Mus musculus: one gene and its partner. The protein of the gene in region 1 interacts with the protein of each later gene in a pairwise test. Links are inferred from orthologs where the notes say so. Each region holds a gene or a part of one and is shown in the gene's direction. Other genes may lie near its edges.

Evidence for each region.
Region 2: the proteins of Exoc5 (region 1) and Deup1 interact in binary tests that used the Homo sapiens proteins (3 or more experiments, as listed by UniProt). The two-hybrid records come from large-scale screens. The link is inferred for Mus musculus from reciprocal best matches to the Homo sapiens genes EXOC5 and DEUP1.

What each region holds. Positions count from the first base shown.
Region 1 is NC_000080.6:49,011,391-49,014,742, reverse strand, and holds the end of Exoc5 (exocyst complex component 5), read left to right. Parts: intron 1-393; coding exon 394-582; 3' UTR 583-2,599; downstream 2,600-3,352. UniProt on the Homo sapiens protein: Component of the exocyst complex involved in the docking of exocytic vesicles with fusion sites on the plasma membrane.
Region 2 is NC_000075.6:15,596,834-15,600,661, reverse strand, and holds part of Deup1 (deuterosome assembly protein 1), read left to right. Parts: intron 1-723; coding exon 724-966; intron 967-3,828. UniProt on the Homo sapiens protein: Key structural component of the deuterosome, a structure that promotes de novo centriole amplification in multiciliated cells.

The sequences.
Region 1 (3,352 bases):
CTTTCTCCGGCCCAAAGATTTATTTACTTATTATGTGTAAGTACACGGTAGCTGTCTTCAGACACCAGAAGAGGGTGTCAGATCTCATTACGGATGGTTGTGAGCCACCATGTGGTTGCTGGGAATTGAACTCAGGACCTTCAGAAGAGCAGTCATTGCTCTTAATCACTGAGCCATCTCTCTCTAGCCCAATATGAATCTTTTTAATGGTTAAAACTTTTAGCTATGGAAACCTTTGAGTTTTAGCTCTTCAGAAGCTTTAAGAAATTCTAACATAGGAGGCAACTTCCCCATGTTATTAAGTTCTGACTAGCAAGATGTGAGAAGACTTTGCAGAGCGCATAGGAAAATAAACTGCTGTGGTTCAGTGCTTCCTTCCCTCTCTCCATTCAGATTCCAATGGTATTACATCTTTTTGATACTCTGCATGCACTTTGCAATCTCCTGGTCGTGGCTCCAGATAATTTAAAACAAGTCTGCTCGGGAGAACAACTTGCCAATCTGGACAAGAACATACTCCACTCCTTTGTACAACTTCGTGCTGACTATAGATCTGCCCGCCTGGCGCGACACTTCAGCTGAGCTGAATTTACAAAGGCAATGGATTGTTTTCTCAGAAGGCCTCGGTAATGGGAAGCACAGGAGATTCCTTATGACACCGCCAATATTTTATGGGAAAAAATGACTGGAAGAAAGCAGCAGCCATACTTACCTGGAATTTTGTTTGAAATTTGGACACCTCTAGCTGTATTTTTATCTTTTCCCTGTTATGTTGAATTCTATACTTTAATTTATAAATTTCAAATTCTATAAACCTACATGACTGTTATAATCCTGGAAAATGTTGGTGTCAGAAAATGAATGAAATTCACCAGTGTTCTGGTTCTTGGTTTTTAACATATTCTACTTGGAAATCTTATCTTCCTGTTTTTGCATTAAAAATAGGCAAAAGTGCAGTAAAACTATATTTCTTATTTATCAGTTTTTCAGTGAAATTTTCAGTGCTGGTGATTATTAATCAAGCTATTAGGTTTTCCTAAAGAACTTCTCACATCTCAAGAGGATCCCGGTTGAGCATCATTTGTGTAGGTGGTGATGTGCTTTTCCTGTAGGGCAGCAGCAGTGCTGGTCTAAGGAAAATCTCACGAGCTGAACTAACTGTTGATGAACCATTTTAAGTAGACACTAGGAACAGATCAGAATGTTATCTGCTTTCTGGGTAAAACTTAAAGTTTACTATTTTTTATTTGATAAATAGATTTTAAGTCAATTAATTAGCAAGAAATTAATAAAACTACCTTATTTTATATTTAACTTAAGGTGGAAGACTTTTAAGGACCATATTTGTTATTTTAATACTCTTAAAGGAGTAAAAAATTGATGTATAGTGTAAACGGTGTATGTGAGAAATAACACCATGTTTAGCAACAGTGCAGTCAGTCCCTTAAGACTAATCTTGAATGAGATGGGATGGCTAAACATGCAGGAGTCTTCTATTTTAAGAGGAACTGAGAATTTTAGATAATGAATAGTATATATTCCAAGTTTGGAGGCAAGCTTGCACTGAAAGCCTGCTTTTCAGACCTGTAGAGTCTGTCATTCTCCATTCTCATTCTCCAGTCTCAAAGCATTTCTGAAGTTAGTACTTCTTGAAGATTATTAATTGAATTGGCTTAATATGGCAACATAATAATTCACTCACAAAATTTTAAATATCAAATAAAACTTTAGAAAGGCCATTGCTCATAGACCTATCAATTTACTCTAAGAATACAAACTAGGTTATATGTTGTCCACTATTCTAAGTTGTGTGTAGTTCACAGCCATCTAGGAACCAGGTAAACTGCAATCTTCAGTTCATTCATAGCATTTTTTTTCTTTCAGTGTAGGATTTTGGTCTAATTTGGAGGAACTGTTTTTCTTTTGAGAACCTGACTGAATAGTTATCAACATTATCAAACTGCCTAGGTCCAGAGCTAACCACTGCACAGCTTACTGTTGACTGAATTTTCACTTTCTGTTTAGCCCAGTGTTAACGATGGTAAGCGGCGGGCAATGAGCAGGCCAACTTTTGTCATTGTCACTTTTGCAGGATATAGTGGCAGGTTTAGAGGCTTTCCAGATAGCTGTCCTCAGAAAAGAGAGAGCCAGAACAGGTTCTCGATACTAGCAAAGCTCTGTGCTTGTACTGTTACCACTTAGAACGTACTGATGTGAACTCAAATTATACCTCTGTTACTTAAAGCCAACAGTTTAAGGCAGTAGTTTTACTGGCCATTTGAACTCTTTGTACAGTGTCAATTTGTAAAAAAAAAAAAAAAAAAAAAAGGAAAAAAAAAAGAAAGAAAAATATCAAATGAAACATCAGATGACATTTTAAGACTTCTAAATCAGAGAAGCACTTCAAATTATTTTGTTTGGATTAATTTTTAAAATGTAAACCAGTTACTTGTTGCTTAGATATTTTGTTAATTATTATTTCCATGCTTGAGTTCTGTGCAATATTTTCCATTATGTCCAGTGACAGGACAAAGAAAATTCAAAGTGAATACCTTATTTAGACATGTTAACGTTCATGCTCAATAAACAAATTCCCTGCAGTTGTTTTTTTTATTTTTTATTTCACCCTGTTTTTACACTTTAAGGACATCTATAATGAATTCTATAAACAATTTTTACTTTAAAATATTCCTTGTTTTTCATAGCTTAGGTCTCCCCCTTTTTTAGTAGAAAAGAACGTGACTGTAATCAAGATTTAGAAATCTTAACTAGAATAGATGAGTTATTTCTTTAAGGAAATAAAAATGTTGCATTGTGTAAACTAGTATTTATTCTTTGCATTTTACTTTTTAAGTATTTATATGAATGGACATCATAAAATTTAGTTTAGAATTTATAACTCAAAATGGTTGTCAGTAGATAAGATGCTTTTATATATACATGGGAATTTTCAGTTAGACATGATGGACATAATGGAGCCTAGTACCTTTTGCCAAAGCTTAAAGAAGAACCTTGTAATAGTCCACAGTTCTTGGTGAACTATGTGTAATATTTAGTTTAAAAAGTGCTCCTCCAAAACACTGAAAATTATTTGTCTAAACTTGGGTGTAGCCCTGACTGTCCTGGAATTCACTTTGTGAACCAGGCTGGCTTCAAACTCAGAAATTCCCCTGCCTCTGCCTCCCAAGTGCTGGGATTAAAGGCGTGTGCCACCATGCCCGGCTTAAACTTGGGTGCCTTAATGTGACTGCTGAATGAACATAGACTCAGAAGGACAATCAGCTTTTATGTTAGTTATAGTAAGAGCACATGACATCTCCTTATCCATAGGCTAAGAATGAAGACTGGCCCC
Region 2 (3,828 bases), on another chromosome or scaffold:
TGTGCTTTTAGGCAGTTTGGGAAAACGCCTATAATCCCTGCACTTGTGGAGGTCACACGCAGGAAGGCCATGGGTTTGAGGCCAGCCTGCACTGTATAACAGGGTTCAGACTCAAAACAAAACCAAACCAAAACAAAGTATGTGGTGTGTGTGTGTGTGTGTGTGTGTGTGTGTGTGTGTGTGTGTGGTTTGTTTTACATGCCCCACTCACCTGTAAGGCTCAGCATGTCCTATGTACATGTTAGCATTTTTCACTTCCTCCTCCGAGCATGATTCCCCCATGTTCCACACATTTGGCTCTGTGCCACTTGCTTTTCCTATTGCTATGTAGAGGGTTTACAAAGGGAGAATTGCTAAAAAACAATTCTGTTGGCAACTATTTTTCCCTCGATCTGTTTCTGGTTTTTATTTCTTTACCATAGAGGCATTTTTTGACTAGTATGTGATTTAGTTAATATTTTTCTTTTTTTATAGCTTCTAGATTTTCTTTATTGATTAATAAGACCTCTCCTCCTGCACACCCCTTCCCTTCTCTATATCTTTGCTCCAGGCTTACACAGATACATATTCTCTCCACATCATCTGAAGTTGAGATCAGAAACCTGGACTGTATAAGCCAAACTCCATACTAAAAGATCTTTACTAATTATTTTATTCTTTGCCTCTGTGGAAGCTTAAATATGCTATTCCTCACTCCATTTACCTGGTTGTCATATTTCTCAGAAACAGGCACAAAATTACCAAACTCAGCTAAACGGGAAAAAGCAGTGCGCAGAGGACAGCAGCTCTGAGATCCCTCGCCTGGTGTGTGAGTCGGATCCTGGCTGTGAAGCCACTCAAAGAGATGAGTTCATTATCGAGAAGTTAAAGTCGGCCGTGAGTGAAATCGCGCTGAGCAGGAACAAGTTACAAGATGAAAACCAGAAGCTCCTGCAGGAACTGAAGATGTACCAGAGGCAGTGCCAGGTGAGGCTCTGCGCTCAGCTTCATCTCCAGCCATTACTGATGGGCGGGACGATGCAGGCTGGACAGGGATCCGCAGGACAGCCTGCCAATGCACTGTCAACTCCAGTCAGACCTCCCTCTCTAAGTGGTTCTCACCTGAGTAAATCCGGTGACCCAGTGGGTATGTTAGCCTCTGAGTCCTGCATCAGCACAATGACAGTGTGACAGTGTGTAACATTACCAGTGCATTGGAACAGCAGTCAAAAGCCTTTGTGCCTAAAATCCACACAGCAGTATTCAGTCACCACCCTTCCCCCTCCTATCTTATTTGCAAGTTTAGACCTTGGGGACCCAAGTGGAGTACCCTTTCTGATTTATCAGTGCTTGCTCCACGTTAGTCTACTTCCCATCACTTAACACAACACTTGAGATAATCCATGAAGATTTAAGGTTCCTTTAGGCTCCTGGCTTGGGAGGGACCTGGTTAACTATGGTGGGGTAGAATATCATGGCAGGAAAATGAGGTAGACTAAATCCTCATGTCCCACAAGCAAAGGGGAGGGAGGATAGGCTGGGGTCCCCACTGGACCCCCATCTCCCAAAGGCCCAACCATCTAGCCTGTAAAGACTCTTTAGAGATTAAGGCTACAGCACACAGGCCCTTGGCCAGATCTGGTGATCAGATATTGACAGTCTCTGTTGAGCAGTGAAAGACTAACAGCTTTGTCTTCCTTAAGCCAGCTTTTAAATGTTTTCCTTCTACTTTTTGCAATTAGCAGAGAAGTTTTGGGACCAGCACCCTTCAAAATCAGACCCTGCTGAGCCTCTTCAGATCTTCCCTGTGTTTATTCAGCCTTTTGAGACATTCTCACCAGCCTTCATCCTCCCCAGCCTTTCTCTGCTTCCACTCTAACTTCCCCACCTCCAAATGTGTTCAACCATCTCTCAACTCCTCTCATTTCCCCATCCTAAAACACAATGCCTAGCAGACCCCGTTTCTCTGAGAAAGTCTGCCCTGTAGCTTCTGATCTTCTACTCCCAGGATCATTTCTTAGTCCTGGGCCAGCCTCCCCTCCCTCACACTTCAATGCGCTGTCCTGGAACATCTGCATCAGCATCCACATCAGCATCTGGGAGGGCTCAGATCACAAGGCTTCCACCTTCTCTCTCTTCCAGTGGCATTTCTAAGAGACTGTATCTCCCCCATCATGAACTCCAGCTCTCTCTGGAGAAAGACGTTATTCTAACATTAACTACAATACCGATGTAAATGAACAAATCAGATTACACTGAAAATACTAAGCTTGCTGGTCTCCCCCCACCCCCACACACACACACCTAGGAGAGCTCTGTACACAACTGTTGAGTCCAGCAGGATCCTCTCCTCCTCTGGGATATGGGACATTGGTTCTAGTTTCTGTCTAAAGACAACGTAAGCATACATCCAAGTCCTTTCCCTGCAGGGCTTGCTAAGCCAGTGGGGGCAGGCATGAAGAGCCACTGGGTTTTGCTAGCCAGACTGTCTTGCTGAATAGTGAGTTTCAAGTTCAGCAAAAGACTCTGTCTCCCTGTCTCATTAAAATCAAGGTGGAGAGCCTCGACATATACACATGTGTACTCTCATGCCACAGGCACACACACACACACACACACACACACACACACACACACTACATATATTAAAAAGTAAACCAAAGCCCGGCGTGGTGGTACATGCCTTTAATCCTAGCACTTGGGAGGCAGAGACAGGCAGATTTCTGAGTTCGAGGCCAGCCTGGTCTACAGAGTGAGTTCCAGGACAGCCAGGGCTACACAGAGAAACCCTGTCTCGAAAAACAAACAAACAAACAAACAAAAAGTAAACCAAATTATTGTGGAACATGTTCAAGAGAAAAAATATCTATTGTCCTAATAAAAATATTTTTGATACACTAGCAAGACTTTGCTGAAAGGACCCTGATATAGCTGTCTCTTGTGAGACTATGCCGGGGTCTAGCAAACACAGAAGTGGATGCTCACAGTCAGCTATTGGATGGATCACAGGGCCCCCAATGGAGGAGCTAGAGAAAGTACCCAAGGAGCTAAAGGGATCTGCAACCCTATAGGTAGAACAAAAATATGAGCTAACCAGTACCCCAGAGCTCTTGTCTCTAGCTGCATATGTATCAAAAGATGGTCTAGTTGGCCATCACTGGAAAGAGAGGCCCATTGGCCATGCCCCAGTACAGGGGAACACCAGGGCCAAAAAGTGGGAGTGGGTGGGTAGGGGAGTGGGGGTGGGTATAGGGGACGTTTGGGATAGCATTGGAAATGTAAATGAGGAAAATACCTAATAAAAAATATATATATATAAAAAAGAAAAGTCTGCTGACAAAATCTAACACACATAATGATAAAGGTTCTAGGAAAAAATAGGACTGGGAAAAAATATTTTTGAAAAGTAATTCAAGATTTCTCTTTGGAAAAAGCACTAAGCACCCTGCTTCTTCACTCCTCCCTGGGTCATGGCCAGGTGTCACTCACGACCTGTCCTCCTGCTTCCCACAAATGTGGAGAGTGCACTGCTTGTCAGTTCATTTGAAGGGTTAAAATCACTGCTCCTTTCCCAGCATCAGACACATTCCTAACTAAACGGATGGACCTTAGATCTGGTTTTCAAAATTTGCATTTTACCAAATAAGGATAACTAGAAATAAATAATTTTGGAACCAGAGTATACATTTGAAAGAGAGAAAAAAAAAGGCCATCTCTTTTTAGTCACCTGATGTTCCACATCTTTCATATGAATGCAAAAAGATAACTATTTCAATTTAAATCGCTGCCATTTAATATGTTGCAGCACACTTGACGACAGCTGTGTCTACATCTTCTGAGACACACCAT